2 linked regions of the Drosophila melanogaster genome follow. The protein of the gene in region 1 interacts with the protein of each later gene in a pairwise test. Each region holds a gene or a part of one and is shown in the gene's direction. Other genes may lie near its edges.

Region 1 (7,404 bases):
GTAGAGTCCAGTCTGCTGGGAGTGCTACCGGAGCACATAAACGCTGAAATCGTTGCTGGAACTGTTCAGTCAAAGCAGGCCGCTCTGGATTATCTTACGTGGACGTACTTCTTCAGGAGATTGCTCCGAAACCCGTCGTATTACCAACTGCAGGACATAGAACCGGAGAATGTAAATAACTTTATGTCCAATCTGGTTGAGCGCGTGGTCTATGAGCTTTCTGCCGCTGCCTGTCTGGTGGAGCGCGATGGATGTCTGATACCAACATTCTTGGGGCGAATCAGTTCCTATTACTACCTGTCGTACCGCACAATGAAGCATTTCCTGGAGGATTTGCAGCCTGGCATGAACACCAAGAAAGTTCTCCTCGCCATAGCCGATTCCTATGAATTTGATCAGCTGCCTGTTCGGCACAACGAGGATAAGCACAATGAGGAAATGGCTGAAGTAAGCCGCTTTAGACCGCCCTCATCGTCTTGGGATTCTTCGTACACCAAGACTTTCCTGCTACTCCAGGCCCACTTTGCACGGCAGTCCCTTCCGAATTCGGATTACCTAACAGACACAAAGTCGGCTCTGGACAACGCCACTCGAGTGATGCAAGCCATGGTGGACTACACAGCGGAGCGGGGATGGCTCTCGACGACTCTGGTTGTGCAGCAACTGATGCAGAGCGTCATTCAGGCCCGATGGTTCGACGGTAGTGAGTTCCTAACGTTGCCAGGAGTGAACGAGGACAATCTCGATGCCTTTTTGAACATACCACACGATGACTATGACTACTTAACACTACCCGTGCTGAAGGAGCTGTGCAAACAAGAGTACGAAGTACTGGCGAAGCCACTGCGAGATGCCTTCGAGGAGCACGAGATCGAAAAGATGTATAAGGTACGATTCGAATTAACCAAATTGCTGAACGATATTCAAATGGTACTTTAAACATTTCCAGGTAATCCAAGACTTGCCCGAGATAGCAATTCAAATATTCGTAGAGGGTCGGCATATGGAGAATGAGTATGCCAAGCGACCGCTCTCACTTTCTGATGACACGAGGGGCGAATGGATGTCCCTGCATGCCAATGAGGACTACGTTCTCATAGTAAACTTGCAGCGGCTTAATGTCAGTGGACAGCGAAGAGGTGGTGGACAAAGCTACACGGTGCACTGCCCCAAGTATCCAAAGCCCAAGAATGAAGCGTGGTTCCTGACCCTGGGCTCCCAGGCCAACGACGAGCTCCTCGCCATGAAGCGTGTATCCATTCGCGGACAGCGCTGCACCAACCGCATTTCGTTCCAGGCAACTCCGCGACTTGGACGTCTACAGCTTACGCTTTATTTAATGTCCGACTGCCTTATGGGCTTTGACCAGCAGTACGACCTGCAATTCGAGATCATTGATGCAAAAGAAGTCTAAGGGCCCTACTAGAGATTAAATCTAAAGTGTACCGTAGCATTCTGTAGAGTTGAGGCTTAACTTTTAGTTAATGGAGTTCATATCGCCTATGAACGTTTTCCACAATCACTGTTATCACCTAGAGTTCGTAGTAAAACTGAACTTGCGTATTTATTGTGTGATCCTCCAAGACATGTATAACATTTTTATCATTAGTAACTTGCTTCGAGACGAAGCTCCTTTGTTAGCCAACCATGTAGCACCTACATGCATGAATCACTTTCTATGAATTTATGAAGTAACTATTTTTATTGTGTAAAGTTAATAAAATTTGTATTGAAAGCGCAGCTATGTTTTTCAATTTAATTTTTTTATGTGATCAATATAAATACCACTTAGCCATCCATAACTATCGACATGTTAACTACATTTATTCTACGTGGCACAGTGGCGGCACCTAACGTTCACTTGTATAATGAAGAAAATAGTTCATGGTGCGTGTCAAAAAGGAAACGTACCAAGAGACAGCATTAAATAAAACTTTTATTAGTATTAATTGATTTATATAATTCTAAGTTGGGTGATGACAAAGTAAGCTAAGAAAGTTAAGAATGATAAAATAAAAAAATAAAACAGGTTAAACAGCTTTAAGCCTATATGCATAGTAATAATTAGTTGTTAAGACCGAAATAGGCTTTTTAAATAGTCCCAATATTCCAGTCAGAAACGTTTTTCGCTGTGAAAATATGTAAACGACCCACCTCATCCGAATGTATTTCTACGTGCGCCGTCTTTTAATGGCGGGTTTTATCCGAGTCCTGACCATTTCTGGACGCTTCTGCACTCCTGCCCTTCTGCCCCACACATGGCGCTGAGAAATGAAAGCATATTCAAGTGATTAATGCAGATGGCCACCACATCGGGCAAATGCGGATCCGCTGGTCCCCGGGGAGTCGCCGACTAGGATAAGGAGCTGGCCTCCTCCCACAGCAGTCGAGTAATTAAACTTGATTAATTGTCTAGTCAGCATGAAGGTAAAAATCGGCGTAGCCAAGATAAACGAAACGGAAATGGAAATTAATTAATATGAGGCTAAGTAAAACAAAAAGAAATAATGAACAAGTTTACTTTGGCAATAAACAAAGGAACATTCAATGATCCAATCGATGGGCCTCGAGTGCCATGTCGGTTCCCCAAATCGCACAATACTCGTATCCAATTTAATTTTCACCTGCACACTTTTTACATTCCTCTGTGCAGTGCTCCACCTTCGAATCGCAATGTCGAAATTCCATAATCAGCAAACAAATAAATAAACAGCTGGAAAACTTTTCAAAAACTTTTGCACCTTGTGCACATAAAGGGTTTCATTTTGTCTTGGCACGCAAACTTCTCAGCCAAATCAGCGATTTCGCAAGGCGGAATTTATTTAATTTGCATACGTATTTATGTGTTAAATAGTTCTTTAATGCAGATGAAGTTTTATTGTATTTATTCAAATAGAATTTAAGTTAAGTTCAATTCAAGGCAGCCAACTCTTGACACCACGTAAGTTGACAAAAGTATAAATGTATTAGTGTTGGTAAATAACCAAGTAATTGTTGACCAAAGCTATCCTGTTTGTCATGGAAGTCATTGTCAAACACATTCTGAAAAAAAACTTTTAACATTTGGAAGGGCAGCTTTGCAGTATTTTTAGAATTTTCAGTCAATTTGGGATATTATAATCATTCTAAAATTTTCTACGCCAAGTGTTTCATTTGGATCCCATTCCGAAGAAAGCATAAGATCTCTGCGGTCATCTTTCACCTTTGCTTCTATCTATAGCGCAGAGAAAATGACCAAGAAGGAGTCATCCGTCCCGACGCTATGTTGGGGATACGCCGGGATACGCGGCATGTTCCAAACTGGAAGACCAGTGGATCCGCCCCCTCCTCTCCCTAATTTGCGGATGAAGACGAACCTGATCCTCAACTACCTTCCGCAGGACATGACGGAGTCTGAGCTGCACCGTCTCTTCTCCAAGTTCGGTGAGATCCGCAAGGCCAAGATCATCCGCCACCGCAGGACTGGCATAAGCTGTTGCTACGGATTCGTCGACTACGTGTCGGAACGCCAGGCGGCTGCTGCCGTGAATGGCATGGATGGCTACGAGACTCGCGGCAAGCGACTGAAAGTGGCCTTCGCCCGACCTTCGGAATATGAAAGCACCAGCTCCAGCCTGTACGTGGGGAACCTGCCCACGTACATGGATGAGAAGAAGGTACGAGAACTCTTCGCCACCTACGGCAACATCGTGGATGTGAACTTGCTGCGCCACAAGTTCAACAATAGGTCCCGTGGCGTGGCCTTCTTGCAATTTGAGTTGGTCCGCGACGCCGAGGTGGCCAAGTACGGCATGGATCGGTACATGATCGAAGGCGCCTCCCGGCCCCTGACGGTCAAGTTCGTGGAGCGCGAGAAAAAAGGCTCGAGTTCTACCTCCAGTGGCTCCCAGTATAAGGACAAGCGTAAATCTTCCCCACCACCCTACAAGCGTCGCGAGAGGACGAACGATCATCATGTGTCTAAGCGTTCTCGAGATTCGGACTAATCATTATGCGTATTTTTGATAGAACTTGCTGATTAATTTGATTAATATATATATAGAACCTGTAAGGAACACCTTTTTTTAAACCTCAGCTGAAGAACAAATTGTGATTTTGCACTTTTGTCGTATACTCAATTTCCTTTAGGTAGTCCGGTCCAATTAATTTTGGTCTTAACGCATTCGTTCGGTTATGCATTTGGCTGCCCTCTGATTTTGGCCTTACATAAATAATTCATTAAATTGCCGCAGGAGCTGGGCTTATCGTTCGCAAACAAGCCACTCCTACGGACATGAGATCCTCGGCTCCTAAAAAGCATTAACAGCTTTATCAGTCGCCTGGTAACCTCGATTTAGCCAGGGGCCACCAGTTGGCCAAAAAAGGTGCGGAGCGTCCGATTCGGTTTCGGTTTCGGGTTTTGATTTCGATTGCGGGATGCATGCAAAGGATTGGCGGTTCAAATAAATAATGAAAACAAAGGGCGCATAAATATTTGAAGATCGCAAACCGAATGAACCGAAACGACTTACGAAAGTAGGTGGGAAACAAGTGAATTGAAAATTATTTCCAATTCGTTTGCTTTTCTCATTATAATTGAGGCGCAAAGTTGCCCCTGCATCTCGGAATCGGTATCTCCTCCTCCGGTTACCCAGCTGGTATCCCCTTCGACTGCTGCTCTTGTTTCAGTCTCTGGTTCCAGTTCAGATTTAACTTACAGATTTTGCTTTACAAGGACCCTTCATGCACGACTGTGGTATGCACTTTTGACGGTCACAGTTTAAATGAAGTTACATAAACTCTGGGTTGGATTCGGCAATAAAATATGGAGGATTTTGCCAATAACTACATTTTTATATAGGGTTGTATGGGTTGTGTTGCTCTTTTGAATTAATGTGCCTCCTGGACTTCCTATTTTGCATAAAAGCACGCTTAATACATAAAATTTTAAAGAAAATCAGTTGTTTAAAGCTTAGAGAAAATCGTTCGCTTTGTAAAAACTAGAATTTTATGAAAAATGTGTGTATATACCCAAACAACAAAGCATAATGAAACCTAAAAATGAGAACAATTGAGTTCCAGTCTCATCTTGTGTTGGAAATGCAAATCAAATTTTCACATCCCTTTTGTTTACAGTTTTCATTTCATTTTTCTTGGAACAGTTGAGTTCTTCCCTAGTTGCGTTAGGAAAAAAAAGGAGGAGACCTCCAAGAAAAAGGGCTGCAGCCTCTTGATAAGCAGATTATACGCTTTTCATCATTTTCATTCCTTTTTTTTACTTGGCGTTCTGGCTGCGAGTGTTTCGGGGATTTCCTTTTTCCATCTTGCCTCGTGTTGTATTGTCTTATTGACATTTGTGGCATATTGTTTTCAACAGAAGTTTTTATAAAATGTTTTATGTTTAAATTATTTCCAATCCTAAGAAAAGCCTTCAATTCGCAGACTTTCGGTGCAATTTTTGCCAGTCTTAAAGTATTTTACTCCACAATTTTCCCGCAGTGATTCCGACTCATTTGTCTTTCTTTGTCCGCGAGCATTAGGAAAACAGACTGGCCACAAATGGGCAGGGGAAGGAAAAGCGGAGGAGGCTAAAAAGCTTGTCAACCAAGACGCCCACAAGCGTCACGTCAGGATAATTAAGAAATTTTTCAGTTCCCGTCTCTGGACCTCACTTTTGTGGCCCTCATTGGGTCCTTCGGTGGTGCGACTTTCGCTATCGAAATAAATGGAAATTGATTGAATTCCATTAGGCCAGGAAGGGAACGGCTGCCTTTCAAATTAGGCAAAAACTAATGAGCTATGCACATGACCATCGACAGCAGGCATTAAAAGTTGTCCAGCTTCCGAATATCATTTCCAGTGGGGGGAAGGACTTACTCCTCCCCAAGGAACACATTGAGTCATCAGCGTAATTCCAAGGGAGTTTCTTGGGCCTGGGGTTTGACGTTGACCGTTGCAGGTCCCCGGTAATGGATAGCCATTACAGGGTTCACTCGCCTGCAATGTGTAATCTATTGAGTTCTAGTAAATGAAGCTGGAATATTGGATGCTTGTAGAGCAGCTGGCCAATGGATAAGGTGCTCCATTATCCTTACATACTTGGCGATCGTGGCACCTGAGTACATTATGACCTTGGTCACCCGAAATGATAAAGTAGCTGCGTGGACCTCTGAAGGGTCATATAATTTGCCGGAATCCGTGACGGGATTGTCAGTCAGGCAGTCCGTCACACCGACAGTGGAATCAGTGCAACGCATGCGTGCCCCATTCATCATCGTCAGCGGCACACACTCGACTCGACTCTAACTCAACATATTGTTGCAACATATTTTACGTGAGGGGTTACCGTAGTAGCTCCAACCCCCCCATCAAATACCCCACCTCAACGCTGAAAACGCTCCTGCTTGCGTGGGGATTTTTTCAATTTTTAGCGAAAATTACATCATCACTTATGCCGAATGAGATTTCCGTCCGCTCGCAGACTCGGTGAATTATTAAAAAATTTCTTTGTCAACAAATCACTTGGCTCTGGTGTGCGGGGCGCTTCACTAAATAAGGCGTAGGTCATACACACAGCACATGCGATTTACATTAGCCGCTCCCTTCCATCAAAAAATAAATATATATGTGTATGTCTGAACTGAAATTTAAAAACGTCGCAAAGAAATTTGTTAACGTTGGAGGGTTGTTTTGCCAGGCTTTGTGGCGGAGTTGTGCCCCCCGATGATGTATGACGGCAAAGGTGGAAAATCGTTTCCAAACATAATTCTGTTTGCCTGACACCTACAACAGTCGCATAAATCTCGCAGCTCTTTAATGCTGATTCCGGCTGGGGAAGCTTAAAGTCCTCGTCCTTCGTCGTAATATTCTTTTTTTTTTTTTTTTTTTTTTTGGACCCAGCGCCTGTGGCAGTCGTTGACAAATTCAATAATTTTTCCCATTACAAAGGGAAACGCTGGTGGTTGGGCTTCCATGGGCGGCTGAGGCTTGTTTTTGTCTGACGAAAGCGACCAAAATTGATTGACGCTGATTTGAGTGTTAGGTGGTTGGAGCGGGGGCAGGAGGAGTCCCTGGCTAAATTTAATTTCGCCCCAAAGAAAAATCACACGAAATCGACACCTGCCGTGGCGCCGGAAAATAATCAAAATAAAATATGGATTTTTCTTTGTTCCACGCACCCGAAGGCGAATCGAGTTAGAGACGGTGAGTTGGCTAGATGGCGAGATGGTCCTTCGAGCCGAGTCTACCAATCTGCAATTTGTCTTGCCGGATGTGGGGTAGTGATTGTGATGGCAGTGCGTGAGCTCGTGAGTCTTCTAAGCCGCCCGGCAAACAAGCGGAAGTTTCCCCACGATGCGTTAATACTCGAAAATTTGCGATAAGACCAGGCGCTACACCCACACCCCCCGCCCACCCCCACCAAAA
Region 2 (8,131 bases), 5.9 Mb from region 1:
CGGTTTCTATTCTGCTTTCGGCTTCGGGTTTGGTGGATATGTATGGATCGAGGTCGAGGGGCGGATGACTGATTACAAACTTATCACTTATCGCCCGGCGGGCAGTTAGTACAATCGAAAGATTCCAGATCAACAGAGCGACAGTTAAAGAGGGTTACACTTAACGTACATGGGCCATGTGTTGTGGGTGTGTGTGTGTGTGTGCTCTATAGGTAGGTAATATAGTAAATACTAGGCGTAAAATAGAAAACGAACATGTGCAAAGTAAAACAAACAGTGTGACAAAGTCGTGTTGTCGTATATAGTATATAGCTTAAATTGATGGGTTAGAGATCGACCGTATTTGGGAACCATTAGGAGAACAGAGGACAATTACAAATAATTATTCAGTCTTTGATTGTTTGTATAATTAACAGGTTTACAAAAAAAAAAAAAAAAATAATTAAAGCTTACAAACTAAAGCTGTTTGGTTTGCCAGTTGCGGTAGACCGTTGATAGGTTGGTTGGTTGATTGGCTCAGGATGGCTGATAGGTTGGTTGGTATTGTAGGCAGTTCGAGGATTAAACGTTTAAGACTTGCGCTGAGATTCAGGTGTGCAGTTTGCATTTTGCAGATTACATTTGCATTTGCGCTTGCAGTAGTTGGTCAGTGAGTTTGAGATACAGATACGAATATGGCCAGATACAAAAGTGTCAACGGCACGGCACGGCAACGCAAGGGGCAGATGGCAGTCTTATGTGGTACATACGGGGATGTATTTAGTATACACTTTCGGTTTAGTTGCTTTCGGTATCAGTATCGCTATATATTGGTTTTTACGTGTTGCTATATACGAGAGTCAATAGGGGAAACACTTGATGATCGGTATTCGTTTGAGAGACGTGTGTGTTAAAGAAGCGGGGCACGTCTGGCCGCGGCCGTTAACAATGCAAATTTACCACCAAAACCAGCAATAAAATATTGTATGTATGCTAAAACAAAGAAAATAAAAGTAAAAGAAAACATTGCTATTACATTCAGTTGAGAAACTAATTACTTGGGTTGGTTTAGTTTGGTTAGCAATAAATGTATGTATATGTGGAATAATATTAAAATATAGATCTATATATATAAAGCCTGGTTTTAATTGCGGCCAATGAGTATTAATGCCAATGTAATGCAAATTAGACGTAAAATATAGGCAGGCAGTACAATATACAAATGCTTGTTTATCATAACGATAATGGTTGTAATTGTGGTTCAATATACAGTTGCAGTTAAACTAATAGTGCTGTAAACTATTTTTGGTTTGTAGTCTCTGAGAAATGGTTACTTGAATATGTTGAAGTGGAGTAAAGTTTCTTCTAAGAAGAAGGTTAGTGTTGCTTAAAACAGACATTTAAGTAGAAATATTATATATATTATATAATATTATATATATTATATAATGGAATTCTATAATTTGTACCCCAAAGATATTCTCCGCAATTATATAGTGATATATTCTTAGCATAAGAAGTTCTTTTTCTTTTCATAACATAAATTTCGATGCTTTTAAAATGGAAGCACTAAGATTTTGGAAGCACCCTCTTCGTATAACGACTGTGTCACGGCATAAAACCCCTCTTTGATCAGGGTATTTGTGGTAAATATTATTATAAAGATAAGATAAGTGCATTTCTAAACATAGATTATAAGACTTAATGCAGCGATAACATATACTTATGTATGTATGTATGTATATAAAGAGCGACCTCTTCGGTGCTCTCCTTCAACATTGTAAATAGACTACATTTCCGTAATTTAACTATTATTTTGACCACAAATGTGTGTGCGCGTTCTTCTATGCATACTTGGGCAGGGTCGGTGTTCGAGTTGGGGTCACACTACGCCCTCTCAAAATTAAAACAATAAATTATAAAAAATATACGCATATACACACAAGGAAGCAGGCATCAAAATATTCGCTTTTTCCATGGAGTCCGGACCCCAACACACATACACACTCACACCGATGCACAAAGAAACCGAGAGAGGGAGAGCAGAGAGCGGCACTGAGAGCACGTGAGAGGACCCACCTACTGTGCATACATGTGTCTGTTGGCAGCTCCTATTGTTGTTGCTATTGCGTAGTCATGACAGTCAACTTCATCGAATGCTCTTTTTCGCTTTTCTTAGTTTCGTTTTCTTTACACACATTGATTATATGAATATATGGATATGTATACCAACGAAACTCTTGTTGGCTAGCTGGTTTTTGGCAATTACGCTGCGCTGTGGCGTTTCAAAACACGATGATGGGGCTAAAAAAATGTGCCTTTGAGGTATAGACACTGGTTAATTTGCATTGACTGCTGCCACAACATAACTGCACTTTGCACTCACACACACACTAAGATATGTTTTTCAACGCAAAGCATTCGGGGCGGGGTTTTAATATTGCTATTGAGCTACAGGCAGAGTAATCCGAAATATTAAGAATAATAATACTACACACCAGACGCGGAGCTCCCGACTCGACGGCAGACAAAGACGCAGTGTGGTAAAATGTGCCCAGACCAGACGGGGCGCTCCTCTCTCTCACACTCTCTTTCTCTCTCTCGTTTCCGCTGCGAGTGTAGATATATGGATGGAAAATCGAAACTCTGTGGCTGTGGCCAGCCCCCGCGGCCCCCTTTTGCTATCTCGCTTGCTCGCATGGACAAAATCAACACAAGTTCACACACATACAGGCACACGGATGTGAACTCACAATGACAACCACTTCGTCACCAGCAGATAAAAAAGTGCTGGCCTTAAATCAATTGCGTTTTATGTAATTCCACTACATTCGTACGTTACGAAAACAAGCACTATTCATATTACACGGTATACATTATTACTTCCTATCGAGTCCAAATTGCTAGGCAGGAAAGGTCTTAAATTTTTACGCTTTATGGGAGTTTACCTTGGGTTCGACCTGACAAAGAGTGTGGCCGCGGCGAGACTGTGAGAAATTACCAAGTGGTGTCTGTTATCTTAATCCCAAATACTCTAGAAACATTTGTATACTAGAATTTGAGATTTAAGCATATTATAAAAGAAATTTATTTATATTTAACTAAAAATGCTTCTTAATATTCGCAAAACAGTTTTTTAATAGCAAAGTAAAGGAACTGGATTTTATTTTAATAAGTGTGTATTCTATTTTTTTGTCATATTTACACGTTCACAAACACGGCCACACTAATCTCCACTGAAAACGCTACTCGCATTTAACTCTAGTTGAGAAAAACAAGATTTATTAATAAAAACATTTTAGCTTGCACCTAAAAGAGTGTGCGGTACTATAAAACTAATCGTTTAACAAATCGGCAATACGAAAATGTAAGTATCTGCACCACATTTTGCTCCCTAAATGGTCTAAAACAGCTCGCTTTTCTCGACAAATAAAAAAAAACAGGGCGCGTGCCCAGAGTCTCGCCGGCGAGGGTGAGAAGGAAAAGGACAACAAGGAGAAGGTCGCCAAAGAGAAGGACGGCAAGGCGACCAGCGGCTCCTCGCGCAGGGACCGCGAACGCAAACGCCGCGGATCGGCGTCCTCCAGCAGCGACTCCAGAAGCAGGTAAATCAGCCGGCAAAGGTCTTTCCCACAAATGGCTGCCATCTGCCAACCGGAATAAGGGTTACTTTTAAAAGGAAGTCCTTCTTCTTCTGTAAAACGTAGCAGATAGTACGGGAAGAAAATAGCCTTCGAGCGAAAAGATTTTGTAAAAATTCACATACCATATATGGTAAAATTTCATCACAGTTAGGAAGTGTTTTACTTTGTACCAGCTTCATTGCCGTTTTCTTGGTTACGAGAAGTAAATAAAACACTTCACTTTTTCCAGCACATCGGACAGCAGCTCTTCGCGGAGCAGTTCCGGGTCATCGCGTTCCAGCTCAAGCAGCTCCAGCGACTCCTCGAGCTCCTCATCATCGTCGTCCAGCGATTCGGATCGCAGCGAGAAGAACCGAAGACGTGGCGGCGGCGCTGCTGGCAAAGACAAAGACAAGGATAAGCCCAGCGCCCGATCACGTTCCCGCTCTCGCACCCGTTCCCCCAGGCGTGTCTCCAAATCTCCAAGACCGGGCAGCAAGGCGCGAAAAGAGCCGGAGCGAGATCGCGATCGTCGTAGTCGGTCGAGGGATCGTGCCCGCCGTGCTGGATCCAACGATAGGGCAGCCGCCGATAGCAATAATGTTAAGCGGGAGCGTTCTCGCTCAGCCAGTCGTTCACGATCGCCACGCCGTCGTGGTCGCGGCTCCGTTGAGAGGACGCCGCCACCGAAGCGAAGGGAGCGCTCCCGTTCGCGGACTCGCTCGCCTTCGCCCAAACAGGTGCGCATTCATGTCGGTCGGCTTACCCGCAACGTTACCAAGGACCATGTGTTCGAGATATTTAGCAGCTTTGGGGATGTGAAGAATGTGGAGTTTCCCGTAGATCGTTTTCATCCTAACTTCGGACGCGGCGTGGCGTTTGTGGAATATGCCACACCCGAGGATTGTGAGTCGGCCATGAAGCATATGGATGGCGGGCAGATAGATGGCCAGGAGATTACGGTATCCCCGGTTGTCTTAGTAAAACAGAGGCCGCCCATGCGTCGTCCTTCGCCACCGATGCGCCGTCCGCAAAACAACCGCTGGCGATCCCCACCCCAGTTCAATAGGTTCAACAATCGTGGAGGAGGTGGTGGCGGCGGCGGCGGACGTCGTCAGTCACCCATGAGGAACCGGCGTTCACCACGGCGTCGCTCCCGCTCCCCCATTCGTCGTCGACGCCGCAGCAATAGCAGTGACAGCTCTCGTTAGAGGACACTGATCGACTCCTAGTTTCTACAATTGACACGATTATTGCACTTTTCTTTATATTATAATCCAAATAATAAAGGTGAGCAAATACCACACACATAGAGAGTTAGCTTAGTGTATAAACGAGCACTCAGCATCATCGAGAGGACATCCCAGCGGATGATGAAGCTTGAAAAAGCAGCTACGTTTCTTGATGGTCAAATGGGATTTGGGGAGAGTAGCCGTTGGTTTAGGGGTTCTTATTCCTATGAGATCACCACCGCAGAATTCGAAAACTTCGTGTTTATTGCGCAGCAATGTTTTGATGCCGCCGCACTCGGATTTAATGCCACTCAGCTCCTCCTTGGTGAGAGCCTGGGCAATCTCTCTCATGGGCAGACGACCAGACCATTTATCTTCGTTAGAGTCCAGAATCAGTTTGAAGATCTTAAACACTAGACCATCAATTATGGTCTTATCCACCTGCGTGCAATTTCGAACGCTCTCCTCCTTCTCGCGCAGCTTAATTTTGGCATCTCCGGTCTTATACTTTCTTAGCTCTTCTTGGACAAAGTACTCCAGATCTTCAATAGCCTTTGAGGCTTTTCTCTTAATTCCCAGCAGAGCCAATCGCTTGGTGCTTGGTATTTTTAGACGGTCTTGTAGGATCTCATAGCCACATTCATGAGAGACCTGAGTGACGTATTGAAAGAAATCCTGGTAGGCACTTATCTTCGTATTCCGCCTGCGAAACTTGGCTCCCGACAGTTCAAAGGGACAGCAGGGCAGTAGGAAATAGTTAATGTTCAAACGACCAGCCAAAACCGGTAGCCAAGGAGACAACTCGTCCGAATGGTTACCAATCAACCAATCCACACCCGGAAAATCCAAGCGGAAGCTGTTGGGCTCCACGGCCTTTTCAATGAGGCTCCTTTGGGTATCCGGTGGATAGAGGGACCATAGCTTTCGCTTTCTTATATCGTAGCCATACCCTTTGTAGCCCTCGGCGTTGAGGACATGAACTAACAGACCGTTTCCACAACCCAAATCAGCGAAGGCAGTGGGCTCCGATTGTGTTTGACTCCACAAAACTATAAGATAAGCAGCGATAGCCAAATCCTCGTAAATGAACTTGAGCGGATCCGTGGACTCCTGTGCGGTCTTCCAGTGTTCCAGCAGGCGTTGTGAATGCCTCTGTTTCAACTCCTTGTACAGATCATTGTACTTTTCCACATTAACCAAACCTAGTGACTTCACCTTTGCTTCATCCTGCTTGGACTGAGACCAGCTTAAGAGCTTTGGTCTGAGCACAAATTCCAACCAGTTGGTGTTCGATTTGGACTTCAGTTTAAACTCTCCTCCAAGGAGGCCCACGGAAAAGCCTTCAATGCTATCGCTGGCAAATTGGCACTCATAGAGACAATTCTCAAAATCTGTAATTAGGAATATAATAAGAATTGTCTAAGAAGTAAGTAATATTGTGATTATCCTCACCCACAATTCCGGTGCCTAGGATGTTTTCCGCCAGTTTCTTGGACAGCAGTTTGAATCCGATCGTAAATCCTGTGCACGTGCGCTGGCTTGGATCCTCTTTTAGAGACATCGCCAACTCCTCCGCACTGGATTCACACACTCGCCCATTCTGCTGCTTTGTCACTTGGGTAATGACTACCTCGAATATCTTTTTATTCAAAGCATGATAGTTTTTGATCAGTATTCCAATCGCTTGCCAGAATTGTGCTTCTTCTACTGCTGCCATGGTGTCGAAAGCGAAAGGTGGCTCAAGGAAAACGAAAATATTAAGTATACGCACGATGGGTAGCTGCGTCTATCGATATTTGTTTGGCGCGTATTTAAAACGAACCCTTGCTAACATATTATCCTGCGTTAGCCATCGTTATTATTAAACGGATATTAATTCTTGGGGTTTATTTTAAGTTATTAATGAGAAAAATGTATCAGATAAAGAAAACTATATTGTAAATACATACAGTAGTATAACCTTCAATATGAAAATGTAGCCTCAACATCGGGATAAATCAATTAAAATGGAAATGAAAATAATAATAATTTAATAAAATCCATTAGAAATTTTTTTTGGAGATCTCGATAGCCAATCACTTAAACATCGATTGATTGAGACTTATCGATATGGTATTGTGTTGCGTAATCAGCTGGGAAACACGCAGCTGAATCTTCAAAATTACCTGTTGCATTTAATAGATTAGACACAAATTATATACCATGTCATTCCTGCGAAAATCGGTGCACCTATTGGGTTCTGTGGCGAGGCGCCAACGACACCTGAAAGTGGTCAGTACTTGGAGTGATCAGAGGGGTATGTTGTTATTTGTTTGGTTTTACCCATGACAGATTGAAGGAGCGATCTCGACAGCTGCGCGGGACTTCAGCTCAAAGCCATCGGAAGATTACGCCAATTTCCCCGGTGCCAAGGCTCCATTTGTCAGCAAATTGAACCTCATTCAACCGGAAGACTATGCGCCAATACCAATTTACCGGGTGATGGACCAGGATGGCTATATAGCGGATGAGACCCAGGATCCCCAGCTGGGCCGTGAGGTTGTGGAGAAAATGTTTCGCGATATGGTGCTGCTGAACACCATGGACAAAATCCTGTACGAATCCCAGCGACAGGGCAGAATCTCATTCTACATGACCAATTTCGGCGAGGAGGCTTCACACATTGGCAGTGCCGCCGCCTTGGAGATGCGGGATCTCATCTACGGGCAGTATCGTGAAGCGGGTGTTCTGGTTTGGCGTGGCTTCCGTATCGACCAGTTTATCGATCAGTGCTACGGCAACACGGACGACTTGGGTCGCGGCAAGCAGATGCCCGTCCACTACGGCTCAAGGGAACTTAACTTTGTCACCATCTCCAGTCCGCTTTGTGAGTTAATATAGTCTTATTTATTTGATGAGAGAATGCTTATCCAGTTTCTCTGTTGTATGGCAGCCACCCAAATGCCCCAGGCCGTTGGTGCCGCCTACGCCATGAAATTGAGGCCAAACAACGATGCCTGTGTGGTCTGTTACTTTGGTGAGGGAGCTGCTTCCGAGGGAGATGCACATGCTGCCTTTAACTTTGCTGCCACTTTGGGTTGTCCGGCTATCCTCTTCTGGTGAGTAACTTTAAGATACATATTATTTTGATAAGATAACCTATTTTGGATGTATTTCTTATCTTATCAAAAATACCATTCAAATAAGTTTCTTCATGACGTACCTTTCTCCACAGTCGAAACAACGGCTTTGCCATATCCACACCATCGCATGAACAGTACAAGGGCGATGGAATCGCCGGTCGCGGACCTATGGGCT

What was found. The genes of interacting proteins can lie anywhere in the genome.
Region 2: the proteins of maca (region 1) and RnpS1 interact in a two-hybrid assay, tested with the Drosophila melanogaster proteins (one large-scale study listed by BioGRID).

Annotation. Positions count from the first base shown.
Region 1 is NT_033777.3:15,491,572-15,498,975, forward strand, and holds maca (maca), read left to right. Parts: upstream 1-3,030; 5' UTR 3,031-3,230; coding exon 3,231-3,986; 3' UTR 3,987-4,049; downstream 4,050-7,404. Other genes in the region: obe (obelus), read left to right, coding at 1-888, 950-1,414.
Region 2 is NT_033777.3:9,548,839-9,556,969, forward strand, and holds RnpS1 (RNA-binding protein S1), read left to right. Parts: upstream 1-3,195; 5' UTR 3,196-3,344; coding exon 3,345-3,346; intron 3,347-3,422; coding exon 3,423-3,584; intron 3,585-3,852; coding exon 3,853-4,813; 3' UTR 4,814-4,909; downstream 4,910-8,131. Other genes in the region: CG9386 (uncharacterized protein), read right to left, coding at 4,925-6,225, 6,287-6,551; BckdhA (branched chain keto acid dehydrogenase E1 subunit alpha), read left to right, coding at 7,037-7,105, 7,166-7,700, 7,767-7,932, 8,049-8,131.